Alligator mississippiensis: one gene and its partner. Each later gene encodes a partner of the first gene's protein in a complex. Links are inferred from orthologs where the notes say so. Each region holds a gene or a part of one and is shown in the gene's direction. Other genes may lie near its edges.

The links. Proteins that work in one complex are often made in the same cells at the same time.
Region 2: the proteins of NADPH--cytochrome P450 reductase (region 1) and HMOX1 are in contact, whole or in part, in a crystal structure (PDB 3WKT), measured with the Rattus norvegicus proteins. The link is inferred for Alligator mississippiensis from reciprocal best matches to the Homo sapiens genes POR and HMOX1. Residues at the interface, in NP_113764.1 of Rattus norvegicus: Thr88, Thr177, Asp208, Asp209, Arg313, Arg514, Lys515, Gln517, Arg519, Leu520, Phe522, Lys523, His626, Lys665, Met667, Thr668, Lys669, Gly670, Tyr672; in NP_036712.1 of Rattus norvegicus: Asp12, Ser14, Glu15, Gln38, Ala75, Pro76, Glu81, Lys149, Ile150, Lys153, Ser171, Asp173, Asn174, Thr176, Lys177, Phe178, Lys179, Gln180, Leu181, Arg183, Ala184, Arg185, Asn187, Thr188.

Annotation. Positions count from the first base shown.
Region 1 is NC_081837.1:17,426,348-17,434,126, reverse strand, and holds the start of NADPH--cytochrome P450 reductase, read left to right. Parts: upstream 1-4,665; 5' UTR 4,666-4,902; intron 4,903-5,259; exon of another isoform or gene 5,260-5,348; intron 5,349-7,779. UniProt on the Homo sapiens protein: This enzyme is required for electron transfer from NADP to cytochrome P450 in microsomes. It can also provide electron transfer to heme oxygenase and cytochrome B5.
Region 2 is NC_081827.1:101,609,690-101,617,244, reverse strand, and holds the start of HMOX1 (heme oxygenase 1), read left to right. Parts: upstream 1-4,552; 5' UTR 4,553-4,672; coding exon 4,673-4,704; intron 4,705-5,053; coding exon 5,054-5,174; intron 5,175-7,555.

The DNA of each region.
Region 1 (7,779 bases):
CAGCTACCATCTGACAAGTGCAATTCCCAGCAGAGATAGGGAAGGAGACAAGCAGTTTAGAGTAATGGCAGAACAGGTTCAGGATTACTTAGAGAAGCTAGCTGCTTTCAAGTTGGCAAGACCTGATGGGATGCACTTGAGGGTACTGAAAGAATTGGCTGAGGTAATTTTAGAGCTACTGGCAATCTTTTTTGACAACTCATGGAAGTCGAGTGAGGTTCCAAATGGTTGGCAAAGGACAAATTTAAAGAAAGGGAAGAAGGAGGATGCAGGGAACTACAGATCAATCAGCCTGACCTCAATACCAGGGAGGATCTTTGGCAGCTCTCTCTCAAAGAAGGCTAACATCAACGAGGAACTCCAGCGTAGGATCTGATGTGACAGCTCTGCCTTCAGAAGACTGGACATGACATCAGGACTCAAACAAAGCTCCTACCATATAAGGTTGTGGCAATCCTAACTCTTCTCTATAGTTGTGAAGTTTGGATGATCTACAGGGACCACCTGAACAGTCTGGAATACCATCACCAGCGCTACCTCTGGAAGATCCTTGGCATAGAGAGGGAGGATCATCACATAAATGCCAGTGTCCTCACTGACACTAGCACCCAGGGCTGGATTAACCCTTTAGTGGGCCCTTGGCAAGCAAACTTGTGGGCCCTGGGCTGGTCAAGACCTCCCTCCCCACCCCAGTGCTGCCACTGCTGCTATTAGGGGACAGTGGTGGCAGCGGCACCAAGGCCAATGGAAGGGAAGGGAAGGGAAGGGAAGGGAAGGGAAGGGAAGGGAAGGGAAGGGAGGTGGATGAAGCCATTCACACCACCACCATGGAGGAAAGGACCTGGGGTCCCCACAGCTCAGGGCCCTAGCCATGTGCCTAGTTTGCCTATGCGTTAATCTGGCCCTGTTAGCACCACCATTAGGGAAGCACTGATTACTCAACATCAACTGCAGTGGATAGGGCACTGTGTGTGCATGCCTGATGTACATTTACCAAAATAACTGCTATACTCCCAACTCGGCTAAGAACGAAGGACACATGGGGGCCAGAGGAAATGCTTCAAGGACACCCTCAAGGTGAGCATTAAGTGTGGCAGACACACCACAAATTGGGGAAAAATTAGCTTGGACAGGGCTACATGGCAATGCCTTGTGAGAGAAGGTACATCTTACTTTGAGGAAAACTGTCTCACCCTGGAGACAGAAAAATGACATAAATGAAAGGAAAGGAAACAAGAACAAGAAATGCTCTGACCCCTTCCTTTAACCACCTGTAGCATTTGACAGAGAGTATGTGGCTCTAGGATGGGCCTTGTTAGTCATAAATGACTCATTTACAACCCTTTAGTTGATCTGTGGGACTGATCAGCCTCAACCATGGGAGTTCACTGACAGCCAGCATGGATTGGGTCTCAAGGAATGCATTGTGAAACACTTAGAGGAGAACAAGGTGATTTCAAACAGACAGCATGGATTCACAAATAGCAAGTCGTGCCTGACCAACCTGATTTCCTTCTATGATAAGGTGACAGGCCCTGTGAATGGGGGAAGAGCAGTGGATATGATATACATTGACACCAGCAAGGCTTTTGACACTGTCCTACAACATTCATATTAACAACCTAAGGAAATACAGACTAGCTGAAGGTATTGTAAAGTAGATTAAAAAAACCTGGTTGAATCATCATACTCAGCGAGTAGTCCTCAATGGCCTGATGTCTAGCTGGGAGGAAGTATCAAGTGGGACTCATCAGAGCTCTGTCTTGGGTCTGGTATTGTTTAACATTTTCATCATAGTTTTGGAAGATAGGATCGAGTGCTTGCTTGTCAAATTTGTGGACGACACCATGTTGGGTGGAATTGAGGATGCTCTGGAAGTTAGGGCTAGGAGATCTAAAATAACCTGGATTGAATCAGGTTGGTCTGGAATCAATCAGATGAGATTCAGCAAGAACAAGTGCAAAGGCCTGCACTTGCGATAGAATACCCACAGGCATAAATACAGACTGAGGAATGAGTAGCTAGGCTGCAGTACTGCAGAGTAGGACTTGGAGGTTATGGTGGGCCATAGGCTGAACACAAGCCAGCAGTGTGCTCTTGTTGGGCAGTGGGGGAGAGGAGCAAACAACATCCTGGATTATATTAACAGGAGTGACTTGCAAATCAAGGGAAGCGATTCTTCTCCTCTATTCAGCACTGGTGAGGCCTCACATGGAGTTTTTTGTCCAGGTTTAGGACCCACGCTTCAAGAAGGATTTGGACCAATTGGAAAGAGTCCAGTGTCCAGAGTGACAAAAATGATCAGGGGCCTGTGATATGAGACCCATGAGGAAAGGCTGAAAACGAGGGTTATTTTAGTTTGGAGAAAAGAAGACCGGTGGGGGGGGCGGATTTGACAACAGTCTTCAAATACCTGCAGGGTGATTATAGAAAGGAAGGAAATAGGCTTTGCCTCTGTGGCTATAGGGGATGTTACCCCTCAAGCTGCAACGGGGAAAATTTAGATTGGAGATTAGGAGGAACTTCCTAACTGAGGGTGGTCGAGGAGCCTAAAGAAGCTGTGGAATCTACATTCTTGGAAGTTTTCAAGAGCAGGTTAGAAAGACACTTGGCTTAATCAGGCAGGCCTTGAGCAGAGGGCTGGACTAGATGACCCTTTCCAGCCATATTTCCTATGATTACAGAACAGCACTAATTATTTTTCAGGGGAAAACTCTTTATTCTAGAATAATGTCCACATAAGAAAATAACTATCTTGATCAATTTTCTCAAGAAGATAAGAAATATTGGCTGATGGGAAGGACTGCAGGCATGCAAGTTTTTGCTAGGAAAAAGTGAGTGGGTCTTCATGTATCCAGTGTGTATGCTTTATATCATGACAAATGAAAGCTAATCTGCAGTATCTTAGTTCTCTTTCATTAGTGAAGTAAGAGACTAAAGTAGAAGGGAAAGGATCAAAAGGGATGAGATGTCTAGTAACAGCTTATTTTAAACGTCAGCATGGTGAAGTGTTAGTAGTCAGGAGCCAGCTTATGACCTGGTTGCCTTTCACAGCTGAAGATTAAAAAGAAAATCCAAGCAGCAAAATCAGTCTAATTGAAAAATATACCTTATAGTTTTGCTTATGAAAAAATAATATTATTTAAATGTGAATTATTGTTGACCAGGACCCTCCCGCACAAGGTGCTGTACATTCCTGGAACAAATGCACATTCCAGGGCACTGATGTAAACCCATGTAACTATATGCACACACACAGATTAATTATACAGCTGCTACTGATTGCCCACATGAATTCACTGTACATACAATAATAACACCTACCTACATATTTGTAACTCGTGACTCAAAACTGTTGACATTCCATGTTATTGTTGACATGGTATCTTAAGGGATAGATTGGGCACCTTTGCTCCATAATATCCTCCGAGCAAGGCATCCCAGGAAAAGGTGCAGCGGCAGAATCAGGGTCTCAATGGATATTCAGGTAATCCTATGTGTCTACGAGAAAATGTTTCTTATTTCTGCTGATACCATGACAAAAGGAAGACTGGCACGGAGGCAGGCAAAAGAACAGCTTCTGCATAACACTTTGTCCAGGTACAGCACAGTGCATCTTGGTACAGGTCCACACTATGAAATCCTACTAGCAAAATAATGGTGGTTAAAAGCATGAACATGACACCCCTAGCCAATGTAAATGTACCAGGAGCCCCTTACCCCCATTATGAGCGTCCTTTTGCTGGTCTATGTCATCTCAGGCAGTGGGTTAACTTAATGAGCAAGACTGTCTGTTGCTGGTATAAGCTGAGAGCCTCTCTCCATTATCGGGCTGCTGCTGCTGCAGCCATAGCTGTGCAGGAGTTGGGAATAGCGGCAGGACCCCCTTGTGGAGATGCAACATATGGCAACAGAGGGGTTTTTTATTAGCCAGATCACACCCTCAAAAGGCAGAAGCTGAGCTAGCAGAAGGCCCCTTCTGTCAGCCTAGCTGTCCCCAGACAAGGGGCCTGCCTACAGTCGTATCAGCGGGGGTGGTTATTTGTTTAACACCTAGTTGACATAGCTTTGCCACCACACTAAACAGACTGAGCTCCAGTCTCCTGGTGAGGGCCTTTACCAGTATAGCTCCACTACTATTGCTGTCATGGCAAAGCATTTGTAATGCAGACTGAACCTGAATTTAATTCAGGCAGAAAAAGGCACAGCTCTGCATCCTACTTTGATCCCATCCAGATGCCTTTAGCATGACCCCTGGATTCCTGAAGGATAACAGCCCTTCTGGACTGTTAAATCTCTCCAAGAGCACCCTGATGCTCCACTGATTTCAACTAAGCAGGGTTGAAGGATGGCTGCACAGCAAAGACACGAGAGGGACAGCAGGAAAACAGTTAATTGTGTAAGTAGCTGCCAGCACGGAAAGGAAAGGAACCTCGTATCCTGCTGTAGGAACATGCTTATTTCTATCCTACCCTGGGCCAGGAGAGCGTGGCACATCTCAGGGACACTTTCGAACAACAGAAGTGTTATCATGTTCCTGACTGCTCTGCCAAATGACCCCTTACAAGGATGAATCCAGATAGTGCAGCTGAGCAGAACTCCTCCCTCTCTTCCCGCCCACTTCCACAGATGATTTCTACCCCTGCTTGAACTAGGCAGGCTTGGCTCTGTAGATAAAAGGAAACAGGAGGGCAAGTCAGTGCAGGAGGAGGAGACTTTCATTCCGTGGAAACAGGCACCGCTCTCACTTGACCACACTACAGACACCTCGGGGCTGAGCAACCCGGAGCGCACCGGCTCCGCTACCTCACTATAACACTACCTGGATGGTAAAGGCAATCAAAGGACAAGAACAGAGCCACAGCTGATCACATCTGGAAGAACCTCTGGCACCCTGAGAAGGTCAGCGCGGCTCTCACGAGCGTCTGCTCCACACGTGGCCCGGCCCGGAGCCGTCCCGGTTGGGGCAGGTCGAGCTAGTGTCACCGGCCTGAAGGGCCGAGCGGGCAGCTCCGCACTGGGGAGCGGGAGCGAGGCCGCGACAGCCGGGCAGCCCCGCCGGGTTCCACGTCGCAGCCCGAGCCGCGGGCGGGGAAGCGGGGGCGACCCCCAGCCCTCCCGGCGCAGCTCCGCGACCAGCCCAGGCTGCTGCCGGCACCGGGCCGTACCAAGGCCGTGGGAGGGAGGGGGGTGAGCATTCCGCGGGCGGCTCCGCTATTGGCTGGAGGGAGCTGCCGCGACTGCGCAGGAGGCGGCAGAACCGGCCCCCCCCCCCGTCCCGGGAGTGGTCTGTGCCGCCGGAAGTGCCGGCCGCGCCGGGCCTGGGAGTCGCCGCCGGGTGCGGGGAGGTGCGTGCGGCGCCGCGTGGGGCGGGCGGGGGAACCGGGTCCGCGTGGGGTGTCTCGCGGGGGCGCCGCGACGCCTGGGCTCGGTGTGGCGGGGCCGGGGTTCAGTTTCCGCCGGGGAGGGGGCCGCCGGCAACCGTCGCGCTCGGCCTCGCCCGCTCCTTTCGGCGAGGAGCAGCGCGGGCCGGGCCGGGCCCAAGCGGCGGCGGCCACTTCCCCGCGCTGCGGCCCCGCGGAGAACCCTGCGCCGGGCCGTCCCGCCGCATTGTCCGACCTGCTCTGAAAAGCTGCCAAGGAAGGGGCTCCCGCGGCGGCCTGCGCTGCTCCGCGCCCAGAAGCTTTTGTGTCTCGTCGTTTCTTGACCAGCCAGGCTGGTCTCTGGTGCCCTTGAGACGGTTTGGCCTCATCCCGCTGGTGGAAAAGGAGAACAACTGATCACCCTTCTCCTTGTAACAGCCTTCGGCACATGGGAAACTCTTATAATCTTCCCAGTCTCCTTTCTAGACTAAACAAACCAAGTCCGTCGGCCTGTTTGTGTAGATCCTGGTTTCTACATCTCTTATAGCTGGAGTGAAACTAAAGAGTAGGAAGGGTTGAACAGCTGGGATAGCTCCTGACAGTGAAGTTGTGACTTTGTGGAATAATTTTGCTGAAGGAACTGGTGAAAACTTCCACTCCTCCAACCTGCTCTAACTTTTGATGTTTAATACCCAACAGTACAGTGCTTTTGTGATTGCAGCATCCAGGTTTAATTGGTAGAGTAGACTTGAATGCTTACACCAAATAACATTTGCCCCAAACCTATTTTCAGTGCACATACCAGGGTGCTTCCTCCCATTCATAAGGAACCTGGTAAACAGGGATCCTGGTTTTCTCTGATTAAAAAAAATATCCAATTTTTGGTTAAAAATAAATAAAAGTAACCCCAAATCCATATTTTTCTTGTGGAAAAATATGGATTTGGGGTTGTTTGTTTTTTTTCTTAACTGAAAATTAGGGTTTTTTTTTTAAATTGTAGAAAATCAGGATCCCTGTTTATTAGGTTTCTTATGCATGGGCGGAAGCACTCTGGTATGTGCACTGAAAATAGGTTTGGGGCAGATATTGTTTGGTGTAGCCATTCTTTAAAAAAAAATATTGGGGTTGAAATTAGGCAGTGGAAAAGCCTTTTAAAGAAATTCAGAGGAACAAATGTAGTGAAGAGGAAGCTCCCATCTAATCCGACTAAAACTGGACGATTGTATCGTGGAAATTCTCCTGCACGTTCAGCTTTGGTTTCTAATCAGTCTTTGTTTGACAGTTGATTTGCAGGTCTAACGCCAGAAGGAACTGAGATTTGGTCAGTTTTGTTACTAAAATGTTTCCCATTTCTGAATGTGAATCTTTACTTTTGTGTGGAGCTTCTAGTTCCTAGGTGCTCTAGATGCACAGGTTTCCCTCGATTTTATGTGGGTTCTTTATATGCAAACTTGCTCTTATGCAATGAGCATATTTAAACCCATAGTTTATTATATGTGAGGTAAATTTGCTCTTACGCAATCAGTAAACATGCGTGCCCCCCCTCCTCCCCCCCGCCCAAGCAGGTAAGTCTGCGGGGGGAGGGGAAAGGGCCGTGTCCCCACTCACCCCAGCCCCGGCTGCAGTGGCCTTGGGAACAGCCAACACCAGCTGCCTGCACCAGGGTACTGCATAGTGCAGGAGCAGAGGTGAGTGGGGACAGGTGGAGCATGGTGCAGCCTAACAGCTAGTGCTGCTGCTCCTGGCTGTTCCTGGGGCCGTTCTGTTCCCTCTGTTTTGCTGTGTTGTGCAGCCCTGGGAGCAGCACCCCTGCCCCTTCCCTAGTCCCAGCCTCCCTCCCTCACCGCCATAGGAACATATTCCTATTTGTTACATTGCAAAGTATGTTTGCTTTATGCGAATTTGATTTATGTGCCGTTCTCTGGGAACGCATGTACAGCATAGATAGAGGGAAACCTGTACTGGAAATTGCTCCATCTGCAGCCATGGCCTGGGGTAAACTGGAGGAGCAGCTTTTACCAGTGCATGTTGATCCTACCCAGTAATTTCTGCTAGGAGCTGGGCTGGGTCTTTACTTAGCACATCCTACAAGTCTCAAGGGAAGAGCACCCCCTACTGATTTGCCAGAACCACCTCCTTCATACCAGTCTGTTACCGCCTCTGAAGCTTACCTGGAAACCTCCTAGGACCACACTTGAAGGGAACAAATCCCATAGCATTTTGTTGGAGGCAGTTTTTTGTTCAGTTCCTACAGGGCTGCCCCAAAGGTCATAGCAAGAATTATAGTTCCCCGGTGGTGCTTACAGTAACTGTTTCATTTTTCCTTCAGTCCCTCAGATGAATATTTGCAAGGCAGGAGTCCTTGAAGGGAAAGCTTAAAAACGGGGAAAGATGGGAAGGAGAAAATGGATACACT
Region 2 (7,555 bases), on another chromosome or scaffold:
CATGTCCCCTTACAGCTAACAAGGCCAACAAGAAGAAATTAAAACATGCAACAAGTCTTTGTGTTGCTGGCAGCTTTGGAAAAGAGGAGCTTGATTTTTAAATCCTGCTAGCTCCCTTAGTCCTCAAAAGACACAACCTGCCAGAGCATGTCCTTGTTTGTGAGGCTGCCAAAGGTACCTTTTTGCACTTAATCCACCCAGTTGTACAAACCCTTACATTTTACAGTAGGGTTGGTGTGATGTTGCCCCCAGAATGGTCTAGGAAACATGAGAGGCAAGGATTTATAAGCATGTCTCAAGGAGCATGCACGTGCATTTTGCAGCACTTCAAACCCGTCTGAAGTGCCGCAAACCGCACATGGCACAGGCACACCCATTCACCACGCTGCTGATTAGCAGCACGACAGGTTTTTTTGACACTGACAGATCCTGGTGTCAAAAAAAACACCACTAAAAAAAGTGGTGCGGCACATGTGGTAACAGTGTACACCACCAGAAACAGAGCCCGAGGAGGCCCCCAGGCCAGGCGGCCTCCCTAGCCCACCAGGGTCTATTTGCTGCACCCCAAAGCATGCATGCAGGGGCATGCTGGGACAACCAGCAGCAGCACAAATATGTTCCACTGCTATTTGTCCAGCGGGAAATGCGTGCCCCTGTTTGTGCACACTCATCGGGGCATGCCCTATTTAGGTGGGTACAATAAATAGTCACTTTATTTAGCTTATCTGGAACTAGAGACACTGGCAGCTTTAGAACTGCAGAACTGCAGGTTTCTAGCAGGATTTCCAGCTGTTTTGCAGACTCCCAAACTACGGCATGCCGAATCCTAAAGCTTACACAGCAGAGGAGGAGACAAGCCTTTTGATTATCCTGAGAAACCCTTTCAACAGCCTCAAAAAGTGCATGCTTGCCTCCTCGTTTTGCTGAGTCACGGCAGCCTAGGTTTACGCCCTGGAATGCTGAGTAACTGTTTCCATCCGGGCAGGGCTTTTTTGCTGAGTCACAGCAGGCCAGGCGCTCATGTGAGCCTGTGTGTCAATCTCATGGCTTCCTGGGCTGAGATTGCAGCTGTTTGACTTGGCTCCAGTCCCATTCTGGACACAATCAGACCTCAGAATGCTCTGGAAATTATTCCATGCAAGCTGGTTTCTGTTATCTTAAATCTAGGCATGTACTATGCAGGGAAGGAGACGCAAGTTATTTGTCCCCTTAGAGCTAACAAAGCTGACTGGAAGGAACTGGAATGGGACGGTCAACAGCCTTTTGTGATGTTGGGAGCTGTGGTAAAGCAGAGCTTTCTTTCTAACTCCTGCTGATTCCCTCAGTCTGAGAAAGACACAGTCTTCCAGAAAATGTCCCTGTTAGTGAAGCTGTCAAAGGATGTGGTCCCCCAGTAGTGAAAACCCTTATGCATGTTCTTCATCTTGCATATGGGAATCATCTACTTTTGACTTCAAAATGACTACACATCAGCAAAAAGCTAAGTACAGGTGGGAGTGTTTATAGAAGCAGGGCTTATTTTGCTATTTAATATGTAATTTTCCTTTGGCCCTGTCTTCCTGTCCTCTCACTGCCCGTGGTTTTTTTTCCCCTGGTGTGTTTGTGGAGCGACAGGGACCAGTGAACAGATGAAGCCACAGATGGGGGGACTTTGTCGGTACAGTGAGCGTGCTGCAGGATTTGCTAGTGTTTTCCTGATCTGTATGCCCTGAGTCGAGTGGGACTGTATGTGCCCGCAGAGCTTGTCGGTGCCTGTGTACTCCCACCACACTACCAGCAGAATTAACGTAACCTCCTTGTGTACCATCCAAGTGCCCTGGGGAGCTCACTGGTTTCCAGGGCCACTTATTTAATACATAGCATGTGTCCTCTGGAGCATTTCTTATTGCAGCCCTTGGCATGAGTGTTACCATACGTTCAGGCTGGTTGCCAATGCTAGGAGTTCTCCTTGCATTTGGAGCCCTTCCTTGACTAGGATTCCTACGGGCACACTGGATACACTGTCTGGACTGCATAGCCATCAGCATGGGGTATTTTTTACTGCAAACTCCCATTGTTTTGCCTCTCACCTTGTCAACACTTTTTCCTTGAAATTTGTCTGTGCTGTGCAAACCCATTACGCAGAGTGACTAACTGAGGAATCCCTCCGCACTCTATTCCCATGTCTCTAGAAGTGCAAAGCTTTTGGGATCCACCTCTATATAGGCATACTTGACATGTTAGGAGCATATATTTTCAGAGTTCCTACTCTGACCACTGCTCTGCAACTCAGACCGCACCTTTGATCTCTAAACTGAAATTGTTAAATGACTCTCAACAGCTGCACCATATCTGTGGTAACTAGGCTGGGCCATATTGCTGTAGGTAATGAAAAATGAGTCTGTGCACTGTTAACATCCTCTCAATGATGCCATTGCCCATTGCGGGCTGGGGTTGCTATAACACTTCTCCCCAATGAGACTTGCTTCTGTTCTTAGGGGAATGATTTTTAAACTCTGTGAAGCTGTTGCCACCTCTACTGTGTCTCTTTTAATGAGGGATTCAAGCCGCTTTCTCTCTGTTCCATTACAGGCTAAAATTACTGAGTCAACCTTTCCCTCTCACACCAAGAGCCTACATTCAGCTGTGCCCCGGTCTGGCAAATACCCCTTGTTTGTCACGCGGTAGTTTTTAGAGAACGCTGTATTCTCTGCTTTGCCTATCCTCTGGGCTTGCACACCGTGGCTGGAGAAGGGAAACGCAGAAGTGGGACTGTGAAAGGGTTCTCCTCCAAAGGGTCTTCATAGCAGGCCCCAGGGAGGGACAGACCCCAAGCAGACAGACAGTACTGGTTTTTTGTAAAGTACTTCAATGTAAAAGCCTGGAGGATCAGAACTCTTGGGGAAAAGGCCTAGGACATAGTCTCTTTTCCCCTCAGGACCATCATTTCATTTCATTGAAGTTCACTTTAAGTTCATAACACTTAAGTTGGTTTTGCAGTGTCCAGCCTCTTGGCACTTTTCCTGTAACTGTAGCACCAGTATTGTTGCATGTCAGATCCTCCAGGAAAGAGTCAAGATAAAAAGGTGAGTAAAATTTCCTTTGGAAACTGAGGCAGGGCAAATAGTGCTAGGGCAGACCATAAGGAAGTGTTGCAGAGGCCAGCTCTTCAGCATGCCTTCAAATATCACAGACTTAAATAAAAAAATAAAGGGAGGAGTTTCTTTCATACCAGGCAAATGTACTCTATCAACAGTAATGCATATATTAGAGTTTCCCACATTCTACCGGGGCTTGCTGAAGAGAGCTGAATTTCTGTGTCCCAGAGGAGAATAATGCAAGAGGAGAATAGTCACTTCATGGCTGCCACCTTCACTGACACGGAGTCTCTCCAGATTCTCCACGTGCAGCTTCTGATCACTGCACAGGACATCCAAAATCAAAAGCATATTCCCGGCTTTGTGAAGGATGCAGCATCTCAGTAGAGACGCATGTTATACCTGCATATGTGTGATACATTTATTTTATCCTGCATGGTCAATGCAGAAAAATAGCAGCAGGAAGAATGCAAAGATATAGGACTGAGAAAGGAAGCCGAGGGCTTTACAAGACTTTTCTGGAAGGCTCCTGTTGCTTTAAGAGAAAGGGGTAGTCGGAGAGTGGCCCCGCTGAGTCAGCTGTAAAAATGCTGCATCATATTTCCTGAGCAGACAACTAACTCCACTTGATGCAAAAACATATGAAGGCATACAATTCTTGAGGGCCTAATTTCACACCAGAGTACTGGAGCAGTCTGTAATCAGTGCCAGGTACCGTGCAGGCTAGGAGTCCAAGTCAAGCGGCTCTTGCCCTGTTTCCTTGGCAGAACTGCAGTCCCATTTTAACCGTAATCCCCAAAGCAAAGCCAGTGGATCCATTTTTCATTGTCACAGGCCAAGCTTCTGAAATTTGGAGATAAGCACCCCCCATGGGCCCTCTGACTTCCAGTTATTAATTTCCCCAGATAAGTTAGTTGGCAGACACAAACCAGTCGCAGACACAAGCCAGCCAATTAATGAGCCATGTAGTTACTCTTGCCCCTAGACCCAGGTCACTTGAACTATTTGCAGACCTCCAGCTCCACCTCAGGCCCAGACCTGGCACATCAATTTTTAAGTCCTTAACATGTACTTGGATAATTCAGCCTTCTGTATGGGGCAGGGGACAATTCCCCGTCCTCGCATAATACACTACAACTTGCTGTGCTGGCTGTGGAACATGATAGCTAATGACCTTGCCCACGTTCCTCATTTGCATTTAGTCCTCCTTTAAATGGACCCCCCCCAGCCCCCTTTTTTTTTGAAAGTCAGCGTATGTACAAGAAGCTTGGACCATTTATTGTTCTGGATTATCTGGTTCTCATTGTCACAGCAGAAAAGGGGTTAATAAGCCTGGGCAAGCTGCCTAGGAGAAGTCTCTCAGCCCTCTCCTGGTAGCAAAGTATGTATGTCGCAATAAGTTTAAACTTGGATGGAGGCCAGCTGTTTTCTGGGCTGCTCACGTGATCTGACAAAGTATAAAGCAGGACGCAGGGGACGGGCAGCTCAGCTCAGCAGCTTCCAAGAGTCCTGAGACGAGAGAGAACGGAGAAGAGGGAAAGATCATACGAAGGCTGTAGAGGAGCAAAGAAGAGAAGAAAGAAAAGCAAAGAGAAATGGAAACGTCCAGGACGGCCAGCCCTGAAACGTGAGCGAAGGGACTAGAAACAGAGGGAAATTATCCAAAGAAAGGAACAGCCTTGATCTCCCCGTGTTCCTTGAGATAGGGATTTGGGGTCCCATTTCTACCTCTTCTCCACTGGGAATAGGATACTCCCCTCCACCTAGGGTTTGACAGTCTTCACCCTGTCCCCTGCCTTGTTTGGACAGAAGCTGGAATGCTGGTGAACCTCCGCCACCCATGCCCTCCTGGGGTGGGGTACTGCTTTCTCTTCCCGGCCTCCACCCCTTACTTGCTCCCAGAGAGCTAATTCTCATTGTGCAGGGGATAGTGAGGTACCTTAGACGCTAACACCTTTTTCTGCCCATTTTCCCAGCACAACCAGAGACCTGTCAGAGTCCATAAAGGAAGCCACCAAGGAGGTGCATGAACAGGCAGAGAACACAGAGTTCATGAAGAAGTTTCAGAAGGCAGAAGTGTCACTCCAGGAATTTAAGGTACTCCTGGTAGCATTGTTTGGGGCTGTGAGGGAAAGGGTTGGGTGATGCAGGGGGTGCACTTTGGGAATATTTATCTATACCTAATTCAGACTGGCTGTGCCAAGAGTATCATTTGCCCTCCTTTCTCCTTAAGGAATAAAGTCTTTGTATCCCAACCACATAATATCACGTCACTTATAAGATGACCATTTGGCCCAAAGCAACTCGAGGGCTGTCTAAGTGTCTTACCAGCTCCTCTTGCCAATGGTGTGGTAGAGTTGTACGTGTCTTGATGGATGGCAAAGAGGGGCATCATATAAGCCTTGGAAGGCTAGGCTGAGGGGCATCTATAAAAGGATGCATAGGCTGAGGGGCATAATATAAGCCTTGCCTTGCCAAGGCGGCATAAAGAAGATAAAAGAACTCAAGGGAATGCTTTACAAAGAAGTACTCAAGCAACTGAATGCCAGGGGTTTTACTATGGTTAAGTGATGTCTAATGGTGGTATAATTGTATACAAACATATGAAAGGTTACAACACCAGTGAAGGTGAAGAACTCATTACAATCATGATGGTGCTCAACCTCTAGCCAACCAGCCAGATGGACCCCTGGAGGCCATGTCATCCAGCCAGGGGGTTTTCCCACATATTAAAAAAAGATGGCAGTGGTAGAGTGGTGGTAGCTTTACTTGCCACTCCCGTGCTGCCAATTTTCTGGACCTGTGGAGAGCTCCACAGGCAGGATGATGTGGCCCGGTGTGCTAGGCTGCACCCGCACACAGTGAGGCCCAGATCCAGCATGCAGACTGGCCCTGAGCCACACATTTGGCCCGTGGGGCTGGAAGGTTGAGCACCATTGCATTAGAACAGTCTGAGTGGGTATAAATTAGAAGTAATAAGGGTTAATAAAACTGGGACAGCTTGACTTGGTTATTGAAAAGTATTTTTTAAAAGCAAGGTCTGTCAGGTTGTAAAACAGTTTCTGGCACTTTGTCCTTCAATATAAGAACTATAATGTGGTCCTGTACTGAATGTGAGGGCGCAACTGCTCAGCTCACCCATGAATTTGAGTGGACTCTATCTGTTGCAAACACCCAAGAGCTCACTGTTTTTGTTCAGTTCTAGTAGAACAAGTTATAGATGCTATGTAAACCAAACCCTGGATAAATAATCCTGAGCCACATGCCAAAGCCATAAAAAATAGGGAAGCCACCTAAGCTGGAAAGCCCTATTAAACAACAGGAAGTGACGCATGGATTGTCAAGTTGTGTGTGTGTGGGTGATCCGGTGTGTAAATGCTTTATTACTGAGCTGGAAGTGCTTTGTTGTTGAGCTGGTCTCTGTTCTGAGTATAGGTGCATGGGAAAGGAGAATACTGGTGATGTGTTGGAAATAGCTAGGCTAAGTCAATTATCCATCGGTTCCTGAGGATAATCCTAGGTGTTGAACTCCTGCCACTAGAGATCCAGCATAGCCTAGTGAAATCCAGAAGGTGCTCATAGGAACACAGACAGTGAGGCCCTGCAGAGACCAGAGGATAGGATCCGTTTCTAAAATATTCACGTGCTGTCTGAGAGAATCAGATGTGACGGTGGGCTGTTAAATACAGACCTCACCGGTTGAATTTTTCAGCCCCAACCAAAAGACACACAACTTGCACTGATGTCTTAGTTGGCTTGGAAAATATCAGTTAACCTAGTTAAGGCTCCTTCAAGTACCGTTTCTGTATTTTATCTATACTGTTGTCAGACTTTTCCAAGTACCTGATGAACAGGATTAGAGTTTAATGGGTTCATATTTCTGTATTACATTTCTTGTAATTTACAGATTTACTCTGAAAAATGGCTATGTAGAAAGAGCACTTTCTTCCTCATCCAAGTTGCTTACAAGTGTGTGCATTCGGAGTCCTATCTGTTGACTGGTTGCAAAAGTAGATGTACTGCTTTTTAGTGCTGTCGGTCCTGCAGACGCAATGCCAGTCCATGAGAATGAACAAGTTTCTTTTCTGGTTTGTATACCAGCAACAGAACTTGTAAACAAGCCTGAGCCATCTGTGCCGCTTTGTCTTCACTAAGGCCTTTCAAGACTGACTAAGGGCAACGTTCGAATATGGTGCTTATGTAAACATACGCATCCTTTCTTACTGGTGACAATGCATGGGATGAAAAGAAACCCACTTTCAAATAAAGAAACAAGCACACAGCTCATACCAATATTTTCAGAAAATCATGTTTCAGAGATGGAAACATGCTTTTGGTCCCTTTTTTACACCAGCAGTCAACTATCAGAGGAAAGACATTGCTGTCTAGCTTCCAGGTGATCAAAGTGAAAGCAAACAAGTAGCCCTATGTAAAGTTCCAAAAGCAGCGGACTGAGGCTGCAGTTTCAGTGCCTGGGC